Rhinolophus ferrumequinum: one gene and its partners. The protein of the gene in region 3 binds, or shares a complex with, the protein of the main gene of each other region. Links are inferred from orthologs where the notes say so. Each region holds a gene or a part of one and is shown on either strand. Other genes may lie near its edges.

The links.
Region 1: the proteins of RAD1 (region 3) and RHNO1 are in contact, whole or in part, in a crystal structure (PDB 6J8Y), measured with the Homo sapiens proteins. The link is inferred for Rhinolophus ferrumequinum from reciprocal best matches to the Homo sapiens genes RAD1 and RHNO1. Residues at the interface, in NP_002844.1 of Homo sapiens: Asn47, Gly48, Ile49, Lys50, Phe64, Ile65, Gln66, Ser149, Lys155, Ile157, Glu211, Ala212, Lys240, Val241, Ser242, Arg244, Gln254, Tyr255, Met256, Phe266, Glu268; in NP_001239428.1 of Homo sapiens: Ser55, Trp56, Val57, Ser58, Pro59, Asp60, Phe61, Asp62, Thr63.
Region 2: the proteins of RAD1 (region 3) and HUS1 are in contact, whole or in part, in a crystal structure (PDB 8GNN), measured with the Homo sapiens proteins. The link is inferred for Rhinolophus ferrumequinum from reciprocal best matches to the Homo sapiens genes RAD1 and HUS1. Residues at the interface, in NP_002844.1 of Homo sapiens: Asn85, Val88, Asp91, Cys92, Ser94, Ile95, Phe96, Gly97, Ser98, Gly127, Val128, Val129, Thr130, Val131, Cys132, Lys133, Ile134, Asn135, Gln137; in NP_004498.1 of Homo sapiens: Thr165, Ser168, Val169, Lys172, Met173, Asn175, Ile176, Glu197, Leu198, Val199, Cys200, Val201, Thr202, Thr203, His204, Phe205, Lys206.

Annotation. Positions count from the first base shown.
Region 1 is NC_046293.1:87,884,315-87,893,808, reverse strand, and holds the start of RHNO1 (RAD9, HUS1, RAD1-interacting nuclear orphan protein 1), read left to right. Parts: upstream 1-5,101; 5' UTR 5,102-5,178; intron 5,179-7,752; coding exon of another isoform or gene 7,753-7,928; intron 7,929-8,094; coding exon of another isoform or gene 8,095-8,164; intron 8,165-8,798; coding exon of another isoform or gene 8,799-8,843; intron 8,844-9,494. Other genes in the region: TEX52 (testis-expressed protein 52), read right to left, coding at 841-1,394, 2,414-2,482; FOXM1 (forkhead box protein M1), read right to left, coding at 4,062-5,087, 7,753-7,928, 8,095-8,164, 8,799-8,843. UniProt on the Homo sapiens protein: Involved in microhomology-mediated end-joining (MMEJ) DNA repair by promoting recruitment of polymerase theta (POLQ) to DNA damage sites during mitosis.
Region 2 is NC_046303.1:1,214,349-1,224,351, forward strand, and holds the start of HUS1 (checkpoint protein HUS1), read right to left. Parts: upstream 4,483-10,003; 5' UTR 4,237-4,482; coding exon 4,185-4,236; intron 3,707-4,184; coding exon 3,579-3,706; intron 3,496-3,578; coding exon 3,319-3,495; intron 2,985-3,318; coding exon 2,877-2,984; intron 2,036-2,876; coding exon 1,961-2,035; intron 1-1,960. Other genes in the region: SUN3 (SUN domain-containing protein 3), read right to left, coding at 8,623-8,742, 9,711-9,803. UniProt on the Homo sapiens protein: Component of the 9-1-1 cell-cycle checkpoint response complex that plays a major role in DNA repair. The 9-1-1 complex is recruited to DNA lesion upon damage by the RAD17-replication factor C (RFC) clamp loader complex.
Region 3 is NC_046290.1:22,852,259-22,861,606, forward strand, and holds the start of RAD1 (cell cycle checkpoint protein RAD1), read right to left. Parts: upstream 3,767-9,348; 5' UTR 3,516-3,766; coding exon 3,222-3,515; intron 2,322-3,221; coding exon 2,213-2,321; intron 845-2,212; coding exon 586-844; intron 1-585. Other genes in the region: BRIX1 (ribosome biogenesis protein BRX1 homolog), read left to right, coding at 4,234-4,392, 6,485-6,596, 7,719-7,762. UniProt on the Homo sapiens protein: Component of the 9-1-1 cell-cycle checkpoint response complex that plays a major role in DNA repair. The 9-1-1 complex is recruited to DNA lesion upon damage by the RAD17-replication factor C (RFC) clamp loader complex.

The DNA of each region.
Region 1 (9,494 bases), on a different chromosome or scaffold from region 3:
GGGCAAGGTGGGGAGAGCTGTGGGGTTCTCAAATAGCAACTTTCACATTCCTCTCTGCTCACACCAGGCAGCCCCTCCTTTCTGCCTTTCCGAAGGCTTCCTACCCTTCCAGCCTTCATCCAATTCCTCATGAAGCCTTCCTGGGAGGATGTGCCAGCCCACAGCAACCCCTTCTTCCCTCCCTCATCTGAATTTCTGTAATAATGTCTATTTTTTGTTTAGAGCTTTCGTATATTCATTAACCAACTTTATCTTCACCACTGAGGTAGGCATAGTATTTACCATGCCTATTTTGTTGATAATGGAATTATTAACAATCAACGATGGAACTGAGTCTGGAAAAGCTAAGCAATTTGCCAAAGGAACACAGTCTAGACTTTAATTCTAGCCTCCAACTCCAGCTTTCAGGTTTTTCCATTAATAATGGACATCATTACAAGACCCATCCTCTGTCTCACACTTTGGGCACTTAGCACGTGTGCGCTTGTATTGATAGATTTCTTTCCTCGCATGTATATAAGTAGGTTCCTGCCTTTCGTAAGCTCCTTGAGGGCGGGGACTGCATGGCATTTCTCGGTCTCCCCAGAGCCTAGCAGGTGTTAAGTACATGGTCGCATCCCCATAATTTTAGTTAAAAAATTGAACCCCTCTCCTGGCTGTCCTTCCCTTGCCTCCATCCCTTCCCTCCAGCTACATTCAGAACAGAGTTTAGTTTTTGATGACCAGAGGTGGGAAAGTTAGAGTACCAAGTGAGATATCAGCAACAGGAAGCAGAGAGAGGGAGGGGTCACCTGAATGTGGGTTGGCGGGTGAGCTCCCTGAGGAAGGAGTGCCTCTTACTTCTTGAAGTTCTTTGGGGGCAGGATGTTGCCATTGGCATCAAGTGGAGGTGCCCTTGCTTCACTCCTCAGTTTGAGTTTCTCCATCTCTCTTAGTTCCTTCGCTGTCCTGAACATCACCTGGCTCTTCCTATTCGCATCCAAGAAGATAGGAGGATTACTGCAGATGAAGGTCAGAAAGCTGTTTTGACCCATCCAGGAGGGAGGGGGAATGGGGGGCTCCGTTGGGGGGCGGCAGTGAGCCCTGGAGTTGGTCAGCCTGCGCCAGACATTACTGTCATAGGGCCTGTCGGGCCTGGCGGGGAAGGTAGCCGGCAAGCGCCCCACGTCGAGCCACGTGTGGAAGCCCCACGTGTGCTCCGTTGTATCCTTCCACGGGTGGATTAGTCGGTGGTGTACCTTGGACTTCATGTCTGTGCAGGGTGGCAGCTTCAGGGCCAGCTGGTGGTAGGCTTGCCGGGTGAAGCCAGGCCATTCCCAGGGCTCATCCGGGAGGAAGAACTCACGCTGAGGCCACGTGTGGGAGGCCAGTAGGGCCTCACCGGCCTCGACCATCTAGGGAGAGACAAAGGGAGCTTGCCGGCACTCTGCCTCTTCTTCCAGGAGCAGCCGCAGAGGAAAGAAGCTGCCAGTCTCCTCCAGACACAGGGTTCCCATCAGGACACTGGCATGGAACCATGTCTGCTCTGTATTATTCTCCCCCTACCTGCAGGAACTTCATGGACTTCTCACCTGTTCTCTTTCCATCTCTCCGGTTTGGGCTTTGATTTCCTACCCTCTTTCCTCAACTTGAATTTCCCCTCTTCGCTCCTTCCTTTCACCCATCCTCTCCATTGTGCTGCCCAGGAAGTGCCCACACTCCCGCCCAGGAATGGGTGCTCCTAACAGGACACATCAGGCCTGAGGAAATCCTGAGGAAAAACATGCCTTACCAAGCCAAGTGTAGAAGGGAAGTCTTTCTACAGAGCTTGGGGGCTGGGTGCTTTTCTATCCTAGACTCCTCCTGTGACTCATTTCTCTGTCATTGCTGTGTTGCCCTCACTTCTCATTAAAATACCAGCAAGTATAGAAAGCATTTAAAATGTTGGTCCCTCCCCTTTCTGGGCCCCACCCCTATGAAATAAACGGTAGCAAATATGCCAAATACTCATCCACACCTTGTTTAACCCTCACAGCCCTATGAGCAGGTGCTGTCATGGTCCCCTTCTCAAAGATGCAAAGAGCAAGATACAATGAGGGTAAATAACTCATCCAAAGTGCCAGGGGAGTGAGTGGCAGAGCTGGGACCTAGGCCGTCTGTCTGTCTGCACTACCCATCTTCTTCAAAGATGCCTCTTCCTCCAGTACACTCCTAGGACTTTTCTAATTCCACAAGTCCCCTGTTTCGTGGGCCAGGTCCCTGTCACTTCTGTGACCACCCCAGATGTAATAACCAGGCATCTCCTCTCCTCTGTTCTGAGCTCCATGTTCACAGTATTATGGGACTAAGAGAAGACAGCAGAGGTCATGGGCCTAGAGATCTGCTGCCCTGGAGAAAGCCTGGCCCACCCCAGGGATGGGGCCTGGGCCCCTACCTGCCGGAAAGGTTCTCTGACATGGGATGTATTCCGCCCTCTGGGTGATCTTCGTGGGTGACAGGCCATTTTCTTCTGAGCCTGATTGCTGGGAGGGGCAGCTCTGTAGGGAAGATCTTACAGGCAGCATTGTTTGCTGCTGGGGTTGCTATGGTGATGCTTCCTGAGTGGTGACACAGGGAGGAGGGCTCATTACTCCCTGGGGACCTGGCTGCTTCAGGTGACACGGGCAAGAGATGGGACTCTGAAGTTCTGACTGCAAAAGATGGTAACGGGAGCTGCTTCTGGAGACTGGCCTGGGAAGGAAAGCAGGGCAGGCTGGCTTCCAGGCCTTGGGTAGGGGGTGGAGGTGGTCATGAGGCACCTGAAGGGGGCCCTTCCTTCCTTCCCTAACGGTCCGAGGTCTGCCCCTGTGTAGGCCTTTCCCTTCCTGGGGACTGGCTGAGCAGGACCAGCACTGGGAAAGCTGCCAGCTCCCGTTCGAAAGGCTGTGTGTGCCTGCGCAGGGTGTGACACAGGTGATCCACGCTCAGGTCCTTTGCACTCTCCTTCAGGTGCTTCTCCACGTTGGCTTCAGGCCTTGCCTCCTCCATTCCCACCGTCTTTATCACCACCCACTTTCTTTTCCAACCCCTCCTTATGCCGTGGGGGCCAGACAGACACACCACAGAGAGCAGCATTTGCAGCCTGGGTTTTATTGAGTAGTGGTTACAGTAGTGTTCTCGAGCTGGCTCCCAGGCACGTGGTCAGCTGGGGCCGAGGGTAGCTCTTTGCAAAGCTGCAGTGCAAGCTAAGGAAGCCAGGCAGGTCAGGGCCCTTTCCGCCTTCTCACACCTTGGGCCACGTTCTCATCAATGCTAGTCTCCCTGGCATGATTAGGGACATTATCAGAGAAACATCTCATGGGTGCACATCTGGGCACCCACTCTTTGCTTTAGATGCATCCACCCCCTACCCCCAATTCAACTTGACCTATTACAAGAGACCTCATAACAAGGACTTCTTGTGGGAAAGCTGACTTGGAAACATGAGGTGGTGGGAGGGGCAATAAGAGGGACCCTGGCAAGCAGATCCACCTGTCTGGGGGCCTACAGTAAAGAACCCTTGAGGCAGGTACCTCGGGCCTGGAAGAAACCGTGCACCGCAGGTCCCCCCCTTCTCTAGGAACTAAAAGCAAGGAACAGAAGCCAACTGACACCGCTGTCATCCTACCCACCTGGCAGTCTCTAGATAATGATCTAAGGAAATAAGCTTACATTTATAATTAGAGGATAATTTTGGAGAATATACACTATTTACAAGGGCCCCCCTGCAAGGAACAGGGAAGGTAAGGGACTGCTGGGCACAGAACACACAGTTTGAGGAATTCCTAATCTTGTTTCCCCTTTGTCTTTGCTACGCCCACCGTCCAGCTGTAGCAGGGATAGGGAGGAATCAGGTCCTCGCGGGAAGCACAGGGCAGCAGAAACCAGGCACCAGGGCCTTGCTGCTTGCAGAGGGCCCTGTGGCAGCTATGGCGTGACGTCTGCCTTGGCATAACCGGGCAAGGTGGGGCTCGAGGAGCGGACAGGCCCTGCCTGCTGTCCTTACACAGAGGCCTTGCACGGCCCAGGCCCAGCCCCACAAGTGCCCGGGAGTGGACAGATCTCTACCGCAGCTCAGGGATGAGCTGAGCCCAGCTGGCGCTGTCAGGGCCCAACAGGTCCTCCTCTAGGCCAGGGAAGCTGATGTCCAGCAGGATCTTGCTGAGGCTGTCATTCATTGTGTCCAGAACCAGACCTTCTGTGAGGGAACGGTTGGCTGAAAGGCTGGCAACCTGTGGCTCAGGGGAGCCTGGCTTGGGGACCTCCATATCTGAGGGGGAACAGCTCCTAAAGGGGTCAGAGGGGAGGTCAAAAGGCTCGGAATTGAGGAGCTCTTGAGGTGAATCAAAAAGGGGGATATTTTTCAGTGGGGTGGTACTGAGATCTGTCAGCCCCAGGGAGTCATGCAAGGGACCAAAGGGACCCTGGGGGGTTCGTACTGGGCTGAAATCTAGCCCCCCGATTTTGGCTGGGGGTGTGAGCCTCCAGGATTCAGGGGTCAAGGGGAGGACAGATTTGCTTGGGGTGGAGGAGATGGGCAACGTCTCCTTAATGGGTGTCTTAAAAGGTCCTTCCTCCCCCTGGGAGTAGCCAAGCTGGGAGACAGGCGCAGAGGACTCTGAGGGGAGAGCGAGCTCTGGGGCTCGGCGCGAAGTCCCGGGGCCCTCTGAGAAGACCAGCTCGGGCTCATCCACACAGGGAGGCTGGAGGTGCTGTTTCCTTCGAGACCGGCTCCTTTCCCTCCGCTCCCTTCGTTTAATCACGAGCATTTCCGAGACACACCGGGCTGGGGACTTGAGCCCACTGTAGGACTTCTTGGGCCTTGGAGTGGGAGAGTGGGACGAGTCCTCCCAGGACTGAGACAGCTCCTCTTTGACAGACGGGCATGGCGAGGGCCACTCTTCCAGGGGTGGGCTCTCGACCTTGATGGGCCGCCCTAAGTGTGGCATTTCCTCCCCAGGCTGGATGTCTTCCTCCTTGATGGACTGAACTGGAAGCAGAGGGCACAGCCCTTCTCCAAGCAGGAGTTTCTCCTCTTTCACTGGTCCTGCAGTGGGCAGAGGGGCTACCCCCTCATCAGCCAGCAGCACCTGAAAGGCAAGCAGGGATAAGGTGGAAAGGGGCTGTCGAAACCTCGAGACTCAACCCAGTCACCAGGCGGGACACAAGATCATGACTAAAGTAAGTGACATGCTGCTACTGATCCTCTTTTTGTCTTTTTAAAATCTTAAAAAGTATAAAATACAAGAATATATGATGGGCCGGCCTGGTGGCTCAGGTGGTTAGAGCTCCGTGCTCCTAACTCCGAAGGCTGCCGGTTCGATTCCCACATGGGCCAGTGGGCTCTCAGCCACAAGGTTGCCGGTTCAACTCCTCGAGTCCAGCAAGGGATGGTGGGCAGCGCCCCCTGCAACTAAGATTGAACACGGCACCTTGAGCTGGGCTGCCACTGAGCTCAGTTGGTTAGAGCGCGGGCTCTCAACCACAAGGGTGCTGACATAATCATTATCTATCTGAGATAAAATAAAATTAGATATCTATTTTATACCATCTACAAAGACAACAGAAAAATTAAAACCATACAAATCCTGAAAGAGAACCTAGGAGACTACATGTACAATCTGAGGGTAGGGGTGACCCTTCTTAACCAAGACTGGAAACCCAGAAGCTGTAAACGAGAGGAAATACATAGTTGACCATATAAAAATTTAATATCTTATTGTGGCAAGAGATACCATAAACAAAGTTCAGAAACAAACAGTAGAAGTAAAAAAAATCTTCAACATAAAAGACAAGGTTAATATTTTAACAACAAAGAACTCCCACAATTAACGAAACCCTGTAGAAAAATGGGCAAAGTCCATAAATAAACAATTCACAGTGAACACTCCCAAGTGACGAAATATAATGAGGAGGGGCTCCCATTTCCTGCTAAGCAAATAGTTCATGGAGACATCATTTATGCACATTAGACAGGCAAATATTAAAAAGATTAATAACACCAATTGCTGGCAAAGAAAGACACCGGTCTTGTCATATCCTGCTGGTGGAAATGTGAATTATCACAGATTTTTTTGGAAAAGCAATCTAGCAATATTAGGTAAAATTTAGAATACCTCTTCACTGAGCAATCTCATATCTGCGACTCTATCCCAGAGACATGAAAGCATTAGTAAGAAAGATACTTGCAAAGATATTTATTGCAATGTTGTTCATAAGGCAAAAGAACTAGAAACAAAATGTGCCCATAAAAGTGGAATGGCTGGAAAAATTATGGCATAGCCACACCATGGAATATTATGTGGCCATTAAAAGACAATGAATTAGGGCGGCCGGATGGCTCAGTTGGTTAGAGCACGAGCTCTCAGCAGCAGGGTTGCCGGTTCGATTCCTGCATGGGATGGTGGGCTGCGCCCCCTGCAACGAGGATTGAAGACAGCGACTGGGCTTGGGGCTCGGCTGCGCCCTCCACAACTAGATGGAAAGAACGGCGACTTGGCTTGGGGCTGAAGAGCCCTGGAGAGGCACACAGTTCCCCGATATTCCCCAATAAAAGAAGAAAAGGGGGAAAAAATTGAAAAAAAAAATGAATTAGAGCTATGCCAAGTGGTTTGGAAGAATTTCCATGAAGCAGAGTGTGTAATATGATCCCATTTTCAATGTTCTGTGTTGTGTGTGTATATATAGAATGACTATGGCTATATATGTCTGTTATACTAAGAGCATGGATAAAGTATGGAAGAAAGCATTCTAAATTGTCAACACGGGTTAGCTTGGAGAGCGAGGGTGGTGCGGGTGAAGGGGAAATGGCGGGGAGACAAAAAGGAGGAGGAAAAAGACTGCATTAAAACAAAAACCATACACATGCTACCATCACATTAACACACATATGTAAAATTACATATAGTGATATGTATAATTTTATATATATTTTAAAAGTATCTTTTAAATAAAACAAAAGCAAACCCAAGTCTCTCTAAACTCCAGAGCCCATGCTATGTCCATCTCATGAGGGGGCAGGAGCCCTTTTCCCTACTTTGCTCCAGGTCAGCTCCCGCTCTCAAAACCTTCTCGAGAGGGTGAAGTTCAGACTTGGTAGTCCATCGCAGTATGGCTTAATCTCCTCACTTTCCCTCAAACTAGACCAGGGATGCTCCATTGAGGAGTGATTCCGCCCCCAGGAGACCTGTGGCCACGTCTGGGGCATTCTGATTGTCACACAGGTCGGGGTGGGAGTGCTCCTGGTCTCTCGTGGGAGGAGACAAGGGATGTCATTAAACATCCTCCCGTGCACAGGGCAGCCGCCCTTCACCCCCAGCAAACATTTATCCAGCTCTAAATGTCAACAGTGCCGAGGCTGAGAAACGCGGAGCCAGACTGACCCAGGCCCTCCACCGTCACTGGGCACAAGCCGGCATCTCCTGCCTCCATGCTCTCTCCACACCTGGGTGCTTACCTAAATCTACTCCTTTCTGAGACCTACTTCCCTTGCAAACTCTTCCTTAACCCTCCCAGCCCGTCTGTCATCATCACCTTGTCTGAATTCTTATAAACTCATCAGGTATTTATGGGCCTTCTGGTACCATTACATTGTAATCCAAATTCCTTTTTAGCCTTTATAATTAAGTTTTCCTTTGTATGTGTGCCTTGTCTGCCCAACTAGACGTATAAGCTTCTCAAGGAACATTCAGCAGAGTACGTTGCAGGTGTAGGTCCAACACTTTTACTCCTCCGAGGAAATCAGAAGCCACTCACCTTAGGGGCAATGCGGACTCGCTTGCTATGGCGGGCAAGCTCTGAGCTCATGAGGGAAGCTGCCAGGGGCAGTGGCACCTTCACCGAGGGCTGTAGCACCAGCGGCTGGTTCACCGGGAACTGGATGGGCACCAGGTACGAACTGACGCGGGGCAGCAGCGGCTTCATCTTCCGCCCTGGGAGGAAATAGGGGCAGTGAGGGGCAGAGGTCCAGGGCACACCCCTTCTCATCCCCTCTGGGATCAGATCCCTCTGAGCTGGGCACAGCATCCGGAGTCCGATCCCTTCCGGCCGTGCTCCCAGAGCAAGGCTCAGGCCGGAAGTCCACTCTCCCATACTAACGTGCGCCCAGGGGGAGGTCGGCTCGGATGGTCACGTTCCGGCGGAGCTCAGGATTGGGCCGCTTCTGCTGCTGCGTGTGGCAGACAGGGAGAGAAAGAAACCTGAGTTAATCAGGCGGGGAGACGGTGGGGGCACCCACTGGCTGCTCTGGCACCGTGCACTGAGCTAACCGGCAGCCCAGAAATGGAAGCTGCTCTGGGAGGTTGCAGGCGAGCACTGCCACCAAAGCCTAGATAGTGGCAAAGGTGGACAGCACACAGACGCACGGTGGCAGATGGTCCCAGCACCTCATCCATGTGTCCTCACCACCCCAGGGGATGCTAAAGCATGGAGCTTTCCTTTCCTGTGGCAAAGGAAAGCCAGAGGAAACACTGCCACCTGCCAGGCCCACCATGCATTGTGGTTGCTGTGCCACACGCACCACGCCCGTGCCATGTCCTCCTGCCACGCACGCTCTGCTCAGTGTGCCTTCGTGATGTGAGGGGCAGGAGCAGTGGGCACAAGCCCTCCTTCTGGGGAGACGAGGTGGTAGTCACACAGTGCCTCACTCCCAGAAGCTCGGGGTGCCCTGAGTGCAGGGCTGGCAGTCACCCAGCCACAGGCTCCCTTCCCCTGCTTAGTGTCTTGTCCCTGTCCACTAAAGCCATGCTGAGCAGTGAAAGGAAAACAAGGCCAAGCCCCGAGCCAGAGGGAAAGAATCTTACTGATTCCAAGTGCTCGGGCGATTGTGGAGACCCTGGGTCCAGTGGCTGGTGGCGGTCAGGCATTGTGGGAGAGAAATGAGATGAAGTTACCACCAGCACGGTCAACCAGGCCGACCACATTGGGAAAAACACCTATTTCTGACTGGCGCCGAGGGCCACCCTGGACAACTGTCCCTCCCAGGAGAATGGTGACAGCTAGGAGAGTATGGGCACTCTGAAATCCCAACACAATTGCTTCTGAATGCTAGCTCGGTTTCTGGTCTCCAGCCTAAAGTGCTTTTTTAAAACAAGTTTTCTCAGACTTTGTCTGTAAGAATCACCTGAGGTGCTTGTTAAAAATACATATTTCTGGGCCCATCCCAGACCCACTGAATCAGAAGCCCCCAGACAGGAGCCCGGGAAGCTGTATTTTAATAAGTATCCCAGGCAGTTCTTCACATCCACACAGCAGTTAGGGAAACACTGCCTCGCGATGTCCTCTATTTGGATCAGAGCAATCCTCTCCATGGCCTGGTTTAGCACCAAAGTGTGTTATTTGATATTTGTCAACTGTACTTAATCCTGTGAGTTACATGCAAATCACCTATGGGGCTGGCTGGTGTCTAACTCTGCGCTGATCAGTTAAGCGCATCACAAGTCAACTTGTTTCCTTTTTGAGATGGATATGACCACCTCCAACTCTGGCCCCACTCAGAC
Region 2 (10,003 bases), on a different chromosome or scaffold from region 3:
CGAACAGAAACGGAGGTAGAGGGGATCTGGACAGCAGGTGAGTGGGGAGCCCCGAGGCCGGCAGGAGGATCATGCTCACCAGACACCTCCCAGTGGAGAGGCCGCACACCCGGACTTCAGAGAAAGCAGGGAACTGCCGGGACCTAGCCACGCCCCCGCCCCACGAGGAAGTCCCAGCCACTCCCACAGGAGGCGGAGCCAGAATCCTGCCCACAGCACGTCAGGGTGAAGATGTGCGCACAAGGGCCTCACACCCTGCACACCGCGCTTGTTTCTGCTGCTCCCACCCCACTCACACAGCCCCTCCACGAGGCCACGGCTCCCATAAAGGAAGGGAGAGAGGGTGGAGCCTCAGCATGCCGCTTCAGCTCCCCTCGGGACAGGAGGTGTTTTTCATGTACTGAGTCGCACTCAGCGGCCTTATGTCCCCTGCCTGTCACCTTAAGACACAGAACCTGTCACCCGGGTAGATGTCCTCGGGCCCTTGGTTCTACTTCCCACACGTGACAACTTTCCATGTAGGAGGGCAGATGGCAGCAGGCACGCCACAACACTTTTGTTTGTTTTTAAATACTCCGGAGAAAAACACTTCTTCTGATGATTTTCTCTACCCAGGCTACTGGGCCAACTCATTGCCCTTGGACAGAAAGAACAAAACAATGGGGTCCGCAGATGAATTGACCGGCCTGGCCTTTTCTCTCCTGGGCCTCTTCGAAGCTCTCTGAGGTCCCCAGGGCATCCCGCCCTGGCAGTGGAAGCTTCCCACCTGACATCTGGGTCAACAATGGTGCACTGACGGGAGCACCCCAAGCGCAGCACAGCTCACACTGCAGCAGCGGAAGCTGACTGCAAGTTCAAATGACATCTAGGAGATTAAGCCAAGAAACACAATCACTCTTATGTGACCACCATCACAGGTATGAACGGCCCACAAACATTTCCTAGGCTTCAGAAAACCTTTGCAATTCCAAAGATCGCTTGAAGGTACATTTCATTCCAGGTCCATGCGACAACACTTATTAACCGCCCGCTGGGTGACAGTCCCACAGTGGTGGCCGGGACACAAAGATGGTTGAGATAGCGTTTCCCTTTCCGATGCTGGCAGGTCACTTAGCATAGAGCACTGAGCACAGAGTTACAGCGAATGGCGAGAGGCTAACGTGGGGGGACGTGGGAGAAAACACAGCGAGTGTGAAATGGCCGAGACAGAGCCTGGAAAGAGCCGGCAGTGTGGGGAAGGACAAGAGTCGAGGGAGGTTTTGCAGGGATGGTGTGGCCACATGACAGGGGACGAGGCCGGGCAGATGAAGATCAAAAGTGGACACTTCGTCAGGCTGATGGAGGTTTTTAGAAGATTCGGGACATAATCAAATGTTTGGGGTCAAGCAAAGGAAGAATTCAGAGAATCCCAGGGGTGACTGGGGACCATCCACACCCTTCCCCATCACTGTCACATGCTGTAGCATTTTGTGACACTGTAGTGGACCAACCGCCACATAAGCAAACAGCAAAGGAAATACATCCATGTACTTGGCAAACAGCTGATGAGGGGGCGACAGCGTGTGCTGGGGGGCTCCGAGCTGAGACCGCCACTAAGTAGACAGGACACTTCCATCACTGCCAGTGTCGGTGATTCATAAAACACATACACACAACAGACAAGCTGGGAGGTTTTGTCCAAAACACAAGTGAAGGAAGCCAGAACTGTTGGCTATGTTGTTAATAGGCTATAAATACAAGTGTGATGGACCAGGGCAAATATAAAAGCCTCCCCCGTGAGAGAGAGGAAAGCACCAGCACAGGTTTCCTGGACTCCGTGAAACCGCAGCTCTCAAGAACAGGCCGGTGAGGGCGCCCGCCGCACCGGGCCTCAGGGTACCCACAGGGCCCCCACACCTGTGGCAGGCATGCCGCCTGAACCCAATACTCCGGGCTCCTTTCCGAGGAAGTTGTAACTTACAAGGTGGTTGCTGATGTTTTTCATTCTTTCCACCACGCTCTTCATAGTCTTCAGGACTGGCAAATAAATACTAACCTACGAAAGCAATGAGAAAACTCAGGAGAATTAAAGATGTGAGTACAGTCAAGTGCTGACAGGTGCAACCTACTGCCTACGTTTGCCACGCATGCATGCTTAGCAGCTCTGGAATCTGGAGTTTTACACTGTCCTTTTAAAATATGAAACAAAAACAATTTTATTTCCCTAACTCACGCCTGCCTCTGTGGTTACCTTGGCGACCACACACCTGTGGGCACTCTGGCTCCACAGACTGCAGCCCTTCGGCCAGAGGCCTTATGTTACCCAAGGGGAATAAGACTCTGAGGGACACACCCTCAGACAGGCCTTCTTACCCCGGAAAAGGACCATGAGGAAGTCCCTGCACCAGCGCTCAGACCAGGTCACCAACAGTGCTTGATACAATGCTGGCTTTTCCCAGGTGGTGCGGATATCCTCCAGTAAAATTCCTTTTCCACGGTCTCTTCTCCAATAAATCGTATGCAAGAAGCAACAGACTTGTGGGCCTCATCTTTATTTCCCGCTGCCCAGGGATTCCTGCCAGGACTGGGGTAGCCTCTGCCCTTGGCTCTTACGCACACCCAGGCATCACTCCTTACAGGATGAGGTAAAATCACGTTCTGAGACCCAAACAGGCGCCTAAGCCATCACTCCCGACAGAAACCAGTCCCCCACAGTGCTCCCTCCGTGTAGTCTAGTTTTATTTAAGCGCCACTGCTGAGCAAGACATTGTCTCCCACCTGTGGCGTGTGGCTTTACTGCTACACGCTGCCCTGTTTTAAGATCTTTATGTAAACAGCAAAAGGCAAATACTCCATTTTTTTTCGTGGAGTATCCTTTAAAAATGAGCGTCACTCACATCACAGTCTGGGACTGTCGGTTCCTGTAAATCCTTCCACAGTTTCCTAGGAATGACCTTTATGGGGATATCGTGGGTTACAATGCGACTACTGCTCGACACAGATAACTGCCAAGAGAAGAATCACACAGTATTTTTATAACGTCAATATTAAAAAAAACCAAAACAAAAAAAGAACTAAGGGACAAAAATAAAAAAGCTAACATACCACATCTAAGTGGAATGTTCCATTCATCAAAACCTGTTCAACAGATACTCAGGGTGTGCGTGGTCTGCTCTGGGTTAGGAGCTGGGACGTGTGCTGAACAAGCAATGTCATTAAGTAGGAGGAGAAACTGAGTCCAGGGGAAAACACTCAGGTGCCAGAAAACCAGTTAACGTTCAACCGCCAGCCAGTGCAGCTCCTTCTGGGAAGTTTCAGAATCGCTCCCCTCCTACTCACCAGCTCTATGGAGACGGTGAGGCAGGGAAAGTGTTTATTAGTCAGCTTGATTTTCAAGGCTCTGGCATTCTGGGCAGTTTTCAAGGCTCGAGACAGATTCTCTGATGTCAGCTCTAAATAAATCGCATTGTTTTCTGCTGACACACCTTCCATTTGAAATTCGTTGAAGAAGTTCTCCTAAGGGAAGACAAGGAGGGACACCTGTGCCCTCTCCGACGGCACCGGGCAGCGTGTGACGCCTCGCAGGAGCCTCTGCTCACCTGTTCCAGCTCACACCACATGCTCACCCCTCCACTGGCCACCTTGTCGGAGAGGATGAAGTTCAGGTGACGCGGGCTGATGCGCAGAGTGCAGGTTTTGGCCAGCTTGGCTATCATGTTGCTGACTCCTGTAGCAGGGGGTGAAGGGAAGGAATTCCTGGCAAGCACACCACGAACCCGAGCTCAACACGGCGCCACCTCCAGGCGGACACACGGCCGTTCGTCGTGGGACCCCACCGGAAAGCAGCTTAGCACCGAGAAGTCCGGCAGCCTCCCCACACCCCGCCACTCGCGCGGCGCACGTCAGGCTGCAACGAGGCGCCGGCGCTCGCAGGGCGCATCCACGCCGGCAGCACACTGGGCCACGGGGTCTGCGCCACGTAAGGCTGCCTCCCGCGGCCCGCCGCCGGCCCACGAGGGAACGCCAGGCGCCGGCACGCGGGTTTTAGAAACAACCCGGGCACCCGCTGCCCCGCCCACAGACGCGCGTCCCGCGCGCTGCCCGCGCCCTCCTCGCCCGAGGCCCGCCGCGCGCAGCCTCCTTCCGGCGCGCCCTCCCCTCTGGGCTCCTCCCCACACCGCCCGGGCGGGCGCGGCCCCGCTCACGCGTGAAGTGGTTCAGACAGGCCGCGTCCACGATTTTGGCCCGAAACTTCATGCCGGAACGCGGGCCCGCGCGGGGGACCCGTCACCCGCGGACCCCGGTGTCGCCCTCGGCGTCCCTCCGGAAACGCCGCCGCGCGCCCAGAGGTTCCGCCCGGCTCGGCCCGGCCTCCGTGAGCCGCGTCACGCCCCCCGGCGGGGAGGCGGGCCCCGTGTGACGCTGTGGGTCACGTACGCGGGGAGGCGGGGTTCGGTAACGCCCCCGGCCGAGCAGGCGGCTGCTTTCGGCGACGCGCCAGTCCTCCCCGCCCCCAGGTAGGAGGAGTGGTTCCGGGGACTCACGTTTTGGAAGAACGTTGTGACACCTGTTGCCAATTCTGTTAAAACGTCAGAACTAAAACCAATCGCTTATTTATCAAAGGCAATTAAAATGATCGCTTAGATATCTGCCGCTCGGATGTAGGTCACTTTCGAACCCCTTCCAGGCCCAGACGCTAGTGCTGGCTCCCGCTCGCCGGGGCCCGTAGCACCACGTTGGATCACGGTTTTAAAATTGTGGTAAAAGCGGGATCATGTTTAGAGAACATTGACGTTAAGTGGTAACTGCAACTTTGTCTCCTGATGAACTTCACCAGATCCTGTGAAAGTCCTTAAAGCATAAATGATGTAATGATGTTACACGATTAAAAAAAAAAAAGGAACAAAAACTGTATCCAGCTTGGTGTTTCGGAGTTCATTATGTTTGCTTATTGTGCAAGGAAGTGCCCTCATCCCGTCCCCCAGGTGGCAGCACGGTGGCAGTGAAGCACAGCCGACGGCAGGCGGGGTGTGCAGTGGGAAGCCGGGGAGCCCGTCCTCACCGCCGCAGGCGCTGCGCGCTCCACCCAGGTAAGGACTGTGCGCCTTCCCGGGCGGCCCGAAGCGTCTGCCCAGCGTGTGCCCCGTGCTTGTTCGTCCTCCCCATCCCTCGGGGGCCCATTTGCAGTCCTGTTGTGAGCACTTAATGTTGAAAAAGTTGCTCACTGGGAAGACACTGGCATAGCTCAGAGGTTCAGGTTGGATTTGTCTTCTTTTTCTTTTACGTGAGAAAACTGTGAAATGACGGACAGCACACTGTGCGGCACGAGTGAATGAATGTCTTTTGAGAAATGCGCTCCATGAAGGGATGGGTTTTGCTTAAGCGGCTCTTCAAAGACTCTTCTCGTGTTTTAGACGTTAAAGGAAAACTACTTCAATAAATGTCATAAATATCCTTTAAATTAACATTTGTGGCGCCCATGAGAAGTGTCAGGCACTGGGCACTGGATGCTGGGCCCTGGGGCTCTGAGAAAGGACGTACCCACCACCTGGGAGGGAAACCCACGTTTTTGGCCGCCCACCGTGTTTCACTTCCAAGGCACTGTTGAATGGTACCCATCCATAGGGTGGGGTCAATCACTACCCTTTTTATAGCACTTGACACTGATTGGTGTCACCTTGGTAACAAGCACCCATAGGTGAGTGCTATTCGCCATTTTAAAGATGGCGGATAGAACTGAAATGTTGGCCTTGCTGCGCGCGCGCCCCACACGCCCCGGGTGAGAATCTGCCTCTCGGCCTTGTGAGTGCACAGTGAGGGGAGAGGGCCTGGAAGTGGGGTTAAGAACCGACCGTGATGAAGCCTCCATAAAGATCCCAAAAGTAGGGGGTTCAGAAGCTTCTGGGTTGGTGAACACGTTTGTGTGCCAGGAGGGTAGGGGGCCCCCTCTTCACGGGGAAGGAAGAGCCTCTGCATTGGCCTGCCTGGACCTGGCCGTATGTATCTCTTCACCTGGCTGCTCATCTCTATCCTTTGTCATACCCTTTGTTACATAGCAAAATGGTAAATTTAAATGTTTTCCTGAATTCTGTGAGCTGTTCTAGCAAATAATTGAATCTATGGCAGGGTAATCATGGAAAGCCAAGTTGGACAGAAGTTGTGGGTAACCTGGGGATCTACTATTTGGCATCTGAAATAGAGAGCGGTCTCGTGGGACTGAGCCCGACGCTCTTGAGCTCACTCCGGTTGTGTCAGAATTGTAGGATGCCCGGCTGGTACCACTGAATTGCCTGGTGTGAGAAAGAAAAAACAAACACAAAAACCCCACACAATCTGGTGTCAGAATTGTTGTGAGTGTGTTTGTTGTGTGAGAGTAAAGGAGAAACACAAGTGAGTTTTTCCTCTACAACCATTACGTAAGAAAACGAGAGACCATGTTTTATGCTAAACATTTTTTAATTAAAAAATGGTATAGGTAAGGAATAGGTAATATTTTCACGTGATTTGAAAACAAAACATTATACAGTAGACCATTTTGCTTCCACCTATGTGGGTGTCTCTTCTGCCCCATTCCCATTTTATTTACTCTCTCCTCCTGGTGAACATTGCTGATTAACGTGTTATATATGTATGTTGCACGTGACTCCTTGAGTCAAAAGGTATGTGCCTTCCTAATTCTGAGAGACATTGCCAGGTTCCCTCCACAATGGTTTTCTCTGTTTGCATTTTCACCATCAATGTGTGAGAGAGTCTATTTCCTCAAAGCCTTACCAATGAAATGTTATCAAACTTTTCTTAATTTCATTGGTGAAACATGGTACCTACCGTGTAACTTTTGACATTTTTCTTAAAATAAATAAGCTCGAATACCTTTTCATATGTTCCTAAGAAAAATCTCTTTGTGCTGTCCAGCCGTTTTTCTATGCAGCTATTGATAGTATTGCTTTCTCGAGACTCTTTACATATGGAAAAGATTGGTCCTCATGATATCAATGACAAATATATTTTTCTGTTTTGTTTAAGGTTTTGTTGGCCATGTAGAGGTTTTTTCAATTTTATGTAAGTGTGAGTCTTGTTTAGAAAAGGTCTTCCTCTATCCAATGCCATACAAGACTTAGCCCAAGTTTTCTTGGTTTATTTTTATGGTTTCATTACCTACCTATAAATAATCACCATATTGGAAATTCGTCATGTTGCAAAGTGAGAAATAATAGGTGCAATTTTCTTTTCTTAATGACAGAGTAATTGTCCCAAACCATTCCTTTTTCCTGTCTGCTTTTAAGATGCCACCGTTATCGTATTCTAAATTCCTACATAGATATAAATCTATTTCTGATATATCAGAAACAGACTTGTTTTGTCTGTTCCATTGGTTTATCAATGTTCTAGCACCACACAATTTTAATTATTGTTTTAATCAACATCATACAGTTCTTTGTCTTTTTTTTTTCATCCAGAGGTTTCCTGGCTTCCTACTAAGTTTATATTTCCAAATGAACTTTAGAATCAATTTGGCTTAAAACACAACACTTCTAGTTACTTATATATGTTTTAATCTTTTTAAAACTTTCTAAAATTGAAAATATCAAACATATGTAAATGAATGCAGAATAGTAGACATGAAGCCCCGTGGACCAGCACACAACTTCGATGATCATTGCATGGCCAGTCTTCTCTATGGATCCTCCCATACATTTCCTCCTCTTATTATTTTGAAACATATCTCAGATATATCATTTCATCTGTAAATATTTAAATATATAAATCTAAACAAGAATAATTCTTTTTTAGTAACAACATCGAAATACTATTATCACACAGGCACTGAAATATCCTTAATTTCCCATAATTGTCTCAGAAATACCTTTTTTCTGGGTGTTAATTGAGATTAAAGTGAATTTATAGATTAATTTAGTGAACACTGACATCTTGATAGCTGAGTTTTCGTATCCACAGGAAAGGTGTGTCTTTCCATCATTGAAGTCTTCTTATCATCCACTGCTGTTTGGAGTGTTTTCAAACAGGTAGTTTAATTGTTTCGTTTATCTGATTCGTTTTCATCTTTGTTGTGGCTTTTGTAAATTATATCCTCCAACTGGTTGTTTGTATTTATACATAATGTTGATTTATATGTGGTAATTTTCTTTCCACTAACTTACTGCAGTTTTTCCTGTGTGTGGTGTATTTTTTGATTGACTTTATTGCATTTGAAGGAATTCATCAGATCATCTGCAAATAGTCATGGTCAGACATCCTCACTCCTTTTAAACTCTGATTTCTTTCACTTATCTAACCAAATTGACCAGTGTGTCCAGATATGTGTTAAGTAACAGTGGTAACAGGCCATCCACGCCTGGTGTGGATGAACAAATTAAGGAAGGCAGAGGTGTTCCTATGAGAAAGACTGTTGAGTAATACCACCTTCGAGACAGATTTACTTGTCAGGGCTCCAGCGACATTCATCCCCAAAGCAAAGCTACCAGAAGGAGACTGAATCACTTTTACACTTTTACTAGTAAAATTCATCCACTTTGAGGTTTCCCTCCCACTGCCGATTTCCACCCCTCTGAGTGTAGTGAAGCGAAGGGGCAGGGACACTTGGCTGTCCTAACCCCCTGGCCGTCACCTTCTGCACCAGCTCTTCTAGGTGTGGTCTCCCGGGGTGCCGTGCACCCTGAATCTATATAAACAAGTGTACTTCGTGTGTCCCCAGTTGCTGAGGATTTTAAGTTTCACACATAATAAGGATTCAGAAACTTCATGCTGAAAATAAAGAAAAAATAAAATTAATGCCTTATCAAGAAATCCATCTCAAAGAATCCCGAGGAAGGCTGACGTAATGGGAAATTCAAACTCTTTCCTTCCTCCCTTCCTAACACAAGGGTATCCAAACATCACTCTAGTGGACGAGAAAATGAGCCACCGTAAGTAAAGAGCTCCTAAGAAGACAAGTTCCGGGGAAGGAAGAGCGTATGGCAGCCTGGACACCAGGTGCTCTCACTTCCTCTCAGATGCCCCCACAGTGCTCCTACATGGCCGTCCCATGAGGGAGTGAGTGACACGGCCGTACAGTCACATAGGAAACTCCTCAGGCACATTCAGTTCTAACACATTGTTTTCAGCCTAGATTTTCTCACCATGGGCCAAGTAGTGTCATCAAACACTTGCTTTTACATGATATGAGACGCCTTCTGTATTTCTTCATTACTTCCTGTGGCTAATGAGAGACAGTGAAGATATATTTCATGCACCTTAATGACTTTCGGGGGCCTTGTATGCTAACAGTTGGTGCTTTTTCCCCTTTGAGTTAAGGAGAGAAGTTTTGCCTGTATCGTCTGGTGTTAAGTATTTGTTTTCTCTTCCCCTGACTTCCTCTCTGCCTCTAACCATCTCATACTGCACCACCGCCCTCATAAGAAAGTTGAGACAGTGACTGTCTAACCTAACAGTGCAAGGGAACCAGACTGGTAAGAGAAGGACTGAGAAGGTGAATACAGTTTTTAAAAAGTGATAGCAAACGAGGAAGAATTAGGCTTAGAAGCCACTTCGGTATTTGCCTGTCTTTTGCATTAAAATGCACATAAGCACTGGGAGCTCAGAACTGAAGCTCAGAAAAGCCTCGTTTAGCTTATGCTCCTGTCACGGTTATTCTCACACACCACTTCCGGCACGCAACCCCAACACACCCCTCCCAGGAGCGGAGCCCGCATCCCCTAGCCAGGGCTCATTACCTGGAGCTCAAAGGTTTGAACCGTGGTTCCTGTTTTGTTATATAAAAACTGACCTAGGAAAACCTCTTCTCCTCCACATTGTTTCAAGCTGCCCTATAAAAAAAAGTAACAGACATGTAGATCATCAGGAACGGATGCTCGGTTAACATAAATGGAGGCAGATGTGTATGCAAGGAGCAACAGTTCTCCAGACGTCTTTGGGGTCCGCCACGGGCGCAGTGCTGGCCCAGGTGCCAGTGCTGCCCTATATACCCCAAAGGTGTTGAACTTTGCAGTTTGCAAGGCAAGAGGCA
Region 3 (9,348 bases):
TTCTAATCCCAAAAAGAGACTTGCCATTTCATAATTTTTGGGGTCAAAATTTCAGGAGCAGCTTGATAGTTTCTGACATTGTATTCCTGCTGAAAATTACCCTCCATTAGGAAGCTTACCTTGACCAGTCCTCCCTAAGTATTCATGTGTTGGTTCCCTAAGTATCTCTGGGTATTATCTTGGTACTTAATGTCATGCAGTTTCGTTCCTTCTCTGCTGTTTCACATATTTCCACTTTACCTTGATTTTAAGCTGTTCCTTCCTGTAATGCTTACCAAGGTAAATATGCAACAGTAGGTGATCAATAGATACTCAGTGAATAAACCACGTATAGAAAACATCTATCTACTTCCTTTTGAAAGGAAAGAAAAACCAACACTACCTAACTAGGAAGCTTTAAATAGTGAGTTAATCTTCCTGGGTCCTGGGTGTCCTGATCAATAAAAGGGGGAGGTAAGAGTAAACGCTCTCCAAAGTTCTGAAAATTCTAGGAACCTGGATAATAAAAGTTCTGCATCCTAAGCAAATGCGTAAGTAGGCAGATAGTATCAACCACATTAGCTTCATTATACTGCTTTCAAGTACCTGAAGTAAGGCTTGTCAGGAGACATGGTGATCTGTAGGACCTCACTTGTCATATCCAATTCAGAAAATGCTTCACGGAGCCCCTCGGACTGCAGAATGATTTTATTAATAACATTGGTGCTGCAGAAATCAAAATCCAGAGTTTCCTCAGGCTCCTGCGTATTGATTTTACAGACTGTCACCACTCCTCCTTCTTCAAGAAACAGCATCAGAGGGTAACCATAACCTTGATAACACATTCGAAGTGCAGTTAAAATCCCTGCAATGGAAATAAATCACACTTTGGGCTTAGCTTTATAGCTCTGGGTTCAGCTTTTCCTCAAATGATACATAAAACTCCTCAAGGGTACTTTATTCTGCCCAATTTCTAGCATATGTCTCTCTAAGAAAGGATCACATCTTCCCTGATGACAGCTGTGTGTAGACAATTCCAAAAATAACTGCAAGAAAATTGGGAAGCAGAACAAAATGTAATGTAATGCTCTGAAATTTCCCAGCTTGCCAGAACACCTCAGAAATACCTTACTGATGGTGTGTGTGTGTGCATGCGCACACACACATTTCAGGTTGGAGCATCTACTTGGTCCAATACTGTAATTAAGAGTTGTTGCAGAATAGGCTATGCTGTTTCTTGAAGGTTCAATTTGTGCAACAGTGGATTGCTTTGATATTGTCTGTACTATAAGGCCAGTGTATTCACTGTAAGGATCCTTCCTGCCTTTCCTATTGGGAGACATCCTTTACATTGCCCCAAGTTTTAAGATCAAATTGGGAGCAAAAGAGAGGGTGGTTAATGGTGGTTAGGGTTTTAATACTGCAACCCATTTGAGAGGGAGAAGAATACGTATGACAGGACATTCTGGCTCTTTTCCCTTATTGTAGGATGGAAGCCTGAGTGAGGGATGGGGGAAGGCAGATGCTTTTATGAAAAACCAGGTACGTTAGAGGATGTATAATTAATAATGGAATTGTCAGTACAAAATTAAAATATATTTTCTAGGGAACAATAACTGAATTTTCCCTAGCCAATCTCAGAGTCCACTGCTATGAAATAAAATCATTCTTCTGGGAATTTCTTGTAGTTGTACATCCATAGCAACTGAATTCACTATTCCTAAAAACTCCCTAAACAAATAAAATATATAAATATTGTAAAGGAAAGCATCTAGGAAAATAGACATAATTTATAAACAGGGCTTAACGGGAAAAAACAGTAACCAAATTCTGAATGCGGTAAACTGGAAATCAGGAGAATTGGTTTCTATTTTTCTCTACCACTAAACTGTAATTCTGGACAAGTTAGAGAAAAGCAGCAATTACTACATATTTCACTTGTTAAAGATATTTAAAACGAAGTCTTCTTTGGGTCAGTTGAAATTTAAAACCTAAAAGCTTTGTAAATTTAAAAAGATGAATGTAAGTACTTTTGCAAATATGAAAAGACCCATAAGCACACTTTCTATTAATATTTTCTATGAAAGTCACAATCCATGATTGTGACCAATGAAAAGTGAATTGGCAGTTCATTTTCTAAAGAAATGTTTATATTACATTCTAATAACTTTTCCTGTATTTTTGACCATTCTCTCTGCTTTTATGTTGTTATAATGTTAATAAAATGGTTCACCTGGCATAGGACTTGATCCAAAAATAGATAAGCAGTCTAAAAGGACAGTTAAATTAATTCGAAAAGTAACAGGCTCTTCCTGAACTTTAAACTCTTGAAATATTCCAGCCTATAAAAAAAGTGAACGAAAAAAAATATATTAAAGAATGAAAACTCACACATAAGGTTCTAGATTTCACTTTACATGTTTTTAAAAAATAATATTGTGTTAATCTTATTAAAATCATTTCTGATTACCAATAAAAACATCTTAAGCTTTTTCAGCTATCAACTCTATTCAATAATTAAAGCTGTAACAGTGATTTAGGTCCCATGCAAAACTTTATGAAGGGTCCTTCATATAACTTATTGGATCTAAACTATCCCCCATGTGACTCTCCCCTGTCTTTGGAAAATAGTCAAACAATTGAATAATGCATGAGTGATACTAGTTTTCAATTTCTTTTAAGGACAGGAACGTCTTATTTATTCAAGGTCATACTGTGCTCTTAGGTGTTCAGAAAAAAACGTTGAATCAAATGTGAAATCTGAATCATACAAATACTACTTTGTAAGAATAAACATATTATATTATAACCGATAAAAGGAAAAAAATTAATAAGAGGGAGGTAGTGGTAAGGAGTATATACTCTAGAAACATGTTTTGGGTTCTCATCCCATCTCAGCCACTTGCAAGCTGTTGGACTTTCGGCAAATCCCTTAAATTGTGCTTCAGTTTCCACATATGTAAAATGGGAATAATAGAGCCTACCTCATATTGTGAGGGTTAAATGAGTTAAACATGTAGAAAACAGAAGAGTGCCTGGCCTATAGTTTAAATTTTAGACATTATTTTTAACCATTATCTCTGTAAAACAAGACAGGGAAAGAATTTGTTACCTACCAGCAATGAAAAAAAATTCAAATAATGATATTGTTTTTTAACTTAAATGTCTATTAAGACCTTGGGAATTCATTAAACTGAGTAAGGAATAGCATGTCACAGACTTAAAGATACCTTCTTCCATACCTGAATAAAAGCATTTGCTTGCACACACTTTGCATTTTCCACTGTAACCTTGATTCCATTTTTAGTAGCAAAACACGTGGCATGTTCTCGGAAATGAATAGCCTTTAAGATAGTGGAGAGATTCCTAACGTTGTCAAGGCTGGCCGTCAAGCTGTAATCATTCTCCTCTTCGATCTGCTGGTTGAGGAGGGGCATCGTCTCCTGCACATTTGGCCCGGAGGAATGCTCCTGCTGCCAACACCTGCTCCCGCGGATCACGACACACCTGGGAGATTCGACAATAAAACTCCCCATCAATGCTGGCGAAGAAGCCCGCGATCTCAGCCTGCGCTGAGGCGAAGTGGAAGAGGTCTGGGCGTTGAACTTGGCCGACAGGGGACTGCTACTTAACTGTCTCTGTCCTTTTGGGGGAAATTATTTCTCTCTCTAAGCTATGGTTTCCTGTTTTTTAAGGGGGCAATAACACAGGAAAAGTTGCGAATAATGAAAACAGACAAACACTGTAGTTCTGCTTGTGGCCAGTTTCCCCAGTGTCGGTTCTGGCGCCCCCAATCTTTCTTTAACAGAACACGCAATGGGGAGGCGGGCCCCGATTCTCAAAAGAGCCACCTTGAGTCTCAGACAACCGGGTTTACCAGCCCGTCGCAGGGGCAGCATCTGTTTACTGGTCCAGGATTGCAAGGCGCAGAAACCCTACCTTTGCGGTGAGGTCTGGACTCCTGTGAACCCTTCCCAGCCAAGTCACCGAGGAAGCTAAGTGCAGCTCGGGAAGAATTGTAGAGGAAGGGGAGCAAGTCCCGCCACTTTTTTCAGATCGGCCGGCCACTTCGGCCACCGTCACCATAGAGCTACACGAGGCCTAGAGAGCCGAGCGTGCAGTACCACAGAGGCCGGAAGGAGGCACCATGGAGCTGGAGGACCACAGAGCCGAGCGCGCAGTACCATAGAGATCGGAAAGGGGAGCGAGCGGCCGAGCCGGAAGGAAGCCCAAGAGCGAAGGCGGCGAGGCAAGATGGCGGCGACCAAGAGGAAGCGGCGTGGAGGCTTGGCAGTTCAAGCGAAGAGACCAAAAAGAAGCGAAAAAGATGCCAGGCCGCCGCCTAAGCAGCGTGATATGGCAGAGGAGGCGGAGAATGAAGAGAGAAACCGTATCCCAGGCCCCGTTTGCCAGGTAAGGGGAGCTACTACCCCCGAGTTACACCTGCGGCCGCTGCTCCACGCACTTGCCCTGGGTTTACCTACCTAAATACAAGTCTGAGGATTTTGGAGTTGCCGAGGTGTTACGGGAGTTGGGTCTCAGCTGTCCGGGCGCGACTAGCCACCGCGTTTACATCTAATTCTCGTGCACGTGGTCGCCCTCTTGGGTGCGTCCGACTAAGCAACGGGGCGGGCTTCAGAGCTTTTAGCTGGCTCACTGGGAATCGACTAACGGAGTACTCAGTTCCAATGTTCTGTCTTCTAGTTATTCCACTTTATGTCGTTTGGAGGGTAGAACTTTCCCTTAAAGTAATTTCTAGATGTTTAGTGTATCCTTACAGTGATTCGTATTCTCATATTCTGCCATAGTCAATTACTGTCAGTCAGGGATCCTGAAGCTTGTAATGTGGTCCTTTAAAAGTTGCTGTTCTTGGGACTATGACTTTGACTTACTAGATCTTTAGCTCTCGAGGGATAACGAAAGCTAGAGTGGATAGTACAAGTTCTACTTGTATTCAACAAACTTTTAACGTGATAGGCACTGTACGAAATTAGGTTTCCCCTGCTTTGGGATTGCAAAACTGGAACGTGATCTCTTCCTGAAATGTTGGAGTTTAGAAGGAAACTAAGAATTCACATAAGTCGATGGTTTTTATTCAAAAGAAGGTGAACACAAGATGTTGGACTCACTTTCATTCAACTGAGAGCTCCCTGAACTAGATTGAGTACTGTGGAGTCAGGGATTGCCTTTGATTTGTTAATTTCTGTGCGCCCCCAACCCCCACCAGCTTGGCATAGTACTCTAGCACATAGTAAATGATGAATAAATGATTGTGGTGTGGTGGCAAGCACTAGGAAAGGAGTTAACTGAGGAATGAAAGATGAGTTTAAATTCTAGCCTTGCTATTAAGAGCTCTTTGCTCATCTGTATATTATTAGGAGGAAGGAAATGTGATTTACTTTTGGTGAAGAATAATCGGGACTTCCAGTAGATTTTCAATAAATTAGTGCTCTCATCCCTTAGGCATCATTGATTTGAGTCATAATAAGAAAAATCCTAGTGATGTGCAGAATGTAATAACTTTTACCCTAGGATAATCTGGTAAGGGATCATGAAGGAGTTAGCCTTTGAGCTGGATCGCAAAGGACAGAATTTTGATATTCAGAAACGAGAAGGAACAATACAAGGAGAGAAAAAAACCAATCAAAGGTGTTGAACTGTGGGAAATGCTGAAAACTTAAAGAAGTAAAGCCTGATTGGCTAAAGTGTAGGGTTGATTTGGGACAATCTGAGGTGAAAATATAAATGTATTTTAGAATCGAATGTTAAAAACTATGTCATTTTGGATTGTGTTTAGAAAATGCTGGGAGCTAAGAATGTGATTGGAGCAATGCTTTAAGATTAAGCTGGTGCTAGTCTGCCATATCTATTGCAGGAACTCCTCCCTGGAAGGCTAGCTAGCCATTTAAAAGATTTGTAGTTGATATAAGATCCTAACGATCTGAAGGAGGGCAGAGGGAATAGGAAAGGATTAAAAATTGTTGCAAAGAGAAATTGACAGCATTTAGTAGTGCTTATGGTATGAGAGAATATGGGCAGGTGGAAGATTCAAAGCCTGGGGGACTGAAATGGTGGTGATATCATCAGAAAACTAAATAATAAGGAAATATACCAGATTTAAGGTTTAAGTATTCTAGGATTGAATTTGAGATTAGTAGGGTTGGGAGACAGTTCTTTACCTTTTTGTAGAGTTGGCAATTGAAGCTATGAGAGTGATTATGAGAACTGTGTCCTGGAGAGAACAGAAATAAAAGAGGCTAAGAATCTTTAGAGTTAGGATGAGGAGTGGAAAGATTGAAGAAAAAAGAAACAAAAAAGGTAAGGGAGCAAAGGAGAGCATTTCTGGACGGCAACTGAGATTAGTGAATGCTGCTGAGTGACTGAATTTAAAGGGTTAGGTCAGGATTGTTTGACTTGCTACTTGGAAGCTTTATCTTTAAACAAACAACCAGTCAAGGTAGGTTCAGTATGAAACTCAAAATCTTAACAATTTCTTTTTCTTTAGGGCAAGTGGAAAAATAAGGAACGGATTCTCATCTTTTCTTCCAGAGGAATAAATTTCAGAACAAGACATTTAATGCAAGACTTAAGAATGTTGATGCCTCATTCTAAAGCAGGTGCCTTTATGTCATATACTTTAAAATTTATGTTTATAAACTTGCCTATTTATGTATTCACATTTCACGTCACACTTCAGTTTTTCAATCTTGTGAGATAAAGAACCACTACTCCTCAGAAGTATATATTTTCAGTGCCAAGATGTTTCAAGTTCACATTTTGTCAGAAAGTTTTTGCAGAATTTATTAAACATTCTCTTCACTTTCTTAAACAGATACGTCCTAATTATTGAAACATTTCTTGCAGGTCCAGAAATGCCTTCACTGTAATGCTCTCTCTCAGAGGTCATGGTTTGTCCTTTGAAATGATTCAGGACTGCCATGTATTGCTTTCTGCATTAAAAAACAAAAAAAGAAAACAAAAAAAGACTTCTTATATAAAAAATAATGGACCTAGAGTAGGATTTCAGGCACCTTTAAGTTGGAGCTCAGTGTGCTTCTAAATGCCGAGCTGATCTTTTTAGCAACGGGGTATCTTACAAGCAAATGAAGAACGTCTAGTTTTAAGTTTAGAACTGTGGCAGTGTCATCATGCAGCTGTCTTTGTGCCTGTGTTGGGAGATGCCTTTGGTTTTAATTCTGGGTAATAACTTAGTTGGTTAGATCAATGTTTCTCAAACTGGGATGTGCTGTTATATTTTCAGATCTTTGAAACTACTAAGAAATTTTAATTTGTATTGGTTTCCTTTTTCCTATGGTAATCCCAAACCATTTTTTTTTATTAGTTTTCTTTGGCAACTGTGATTCAAATGGAAAGAAATTTTCATCACTTCACATTTTAGTTTCTTAAAGTGAGTGTTCCTTAAATGGGAGTCCTAGAACATAGTTTTCAGTTGTGAGAATTTTTCATTTTTGAAAGAGATTCATAGAATACAGAAAGTCTGAGAACCACTGCTTACATCTTTTATAATTCTTGAGGAGTATTTTTAATCTCATTTTTACATTTAAAAATTTTAAAGAGGTCATGTGTTTTCAGATCTGATTGTTTTGAATATTAATAAAATTTCATTTAAATTGAAGATTATAAAAACTTTTAAAAGTATTTTCTAGAAAGAATGTGATTTGATTAAAGAAGGTTTGAAATCTTTTGTTTACTTGCTTTTTCTTTTTTTCTTTTTATAGACACTAAAATGGATCGTAAAGATAAGTTATTTGTGATTAACGAGGTAATTTTAGAAACTAACTAAAGTAAAATGTTCTAGGAACACTATTTAGGAAAAAAATATTTTGGAACACTAATACTCATTTTAAAAAGTCAGTTATTCAGTGACTTATATTGTTTTGTAAAATATACTTAGATTTTATTGAATCTTTAATAATCTATCTTCTAAATTTTTGTAGTACTCATTGTCTGTATCTTATGTTTTATCTTATATTCAGTATATATTGTTTCTTGATGATTCTTACATTTATTTTGTCCAAACAAGCACATGAACATTTTCTGGGAACAAGGATTCTCTCATTTTTTTCCTCTCATTATGTCTAAGATAGTGCAAATTGCTTAGTAGGTATTCATACAAAAACTACCAATCAGCATGTATGAAATATAATTAAAAACTCATTAAATATTTTTAAAACCCCACATTGTAAAAAGCATTTTGTCAGTATTAAAAGTGATGCATGTGGTATTTGCTCTTACGGTATTACCAACAAGTAATAGGTTAAATTTTCAAAGTGTTGTTGAAGATACTAACCTTACATTTTACAGCAGATGTTTAAAGACTTAGAATTTTTTAAACAGGATTTTCTTTGGCTATTAGAAAGACTTTTATTCATTTAGCATAATATTTGAACCTCTGCTATATCGTGGTATTGCTCTCTGCGTGCCATGGAAATGTGTTTTACAAAACAACACCCCGTCATTGTGGAGCTTACATTCTAATGGCAGAGAGAGGCCCTAAACAAGTCAAGTGAAGACAGGAGAAGTAAAACGGTATGGGTTTCCAGCAACTGAGGCTGGACTAGAAAACTGCCGATGGAATGTTGCTGTGTTTATTCCAAGACCAGTAAGAAACAAAAGCATTTGACATAAGAATTTTTTTTATTCGTTTCAGGTGTACAAAACAATGTAATAGTTAGACATTTCACCCCTCACAAAGGGATAACCCTCCTCCCCCAATCTATTATCCCTCTGACATCGTATATAGCTGTTACAATTCCATTGACACTATTCCCTATGCTGTACTCGACATCCTGTGACCATGTGTGTGTGTGTGTATATATATATATATATATATATATATATATATATATATATATATAAAACTATAGTTGACATTCAGTATTATTCAGCTTCAGGTGTATAGCACAGTGGTCAGACATCTACACAGTCCATGAAGTTGGCCTAAGAATTTTTTGTTAGGTTTAAAGAGTTTCGAGTTTATGAATACCATATCAGATAGTTTGTGAATACTACAATAGTATGGTACTTCACTCCTGTATTGCTTTTGTATATTTCTCAAGTGTGATTTTGTAAACCTTCAAGATGTTGAAGTTTAATTCAACTTGAAATAGGTTTTGCATAGCTCTACATTTCACCAATCCCTTAGTGATTTTATGGAAACAAATCACAGAAATGATAATATAAATGACGAAGAAAAAAGTTAAATTTGTTGATCTTAAAATAAAAAAACTAATTAAAAATCAGAATAACCATTATAAAGGATGTGTTTGGTTTTATAAGGACTATATTTTCCTAAGATTAGTGAGGCTAATTATATTTTGCTTTATCCCTAGGGTATCTGTTTTTAGT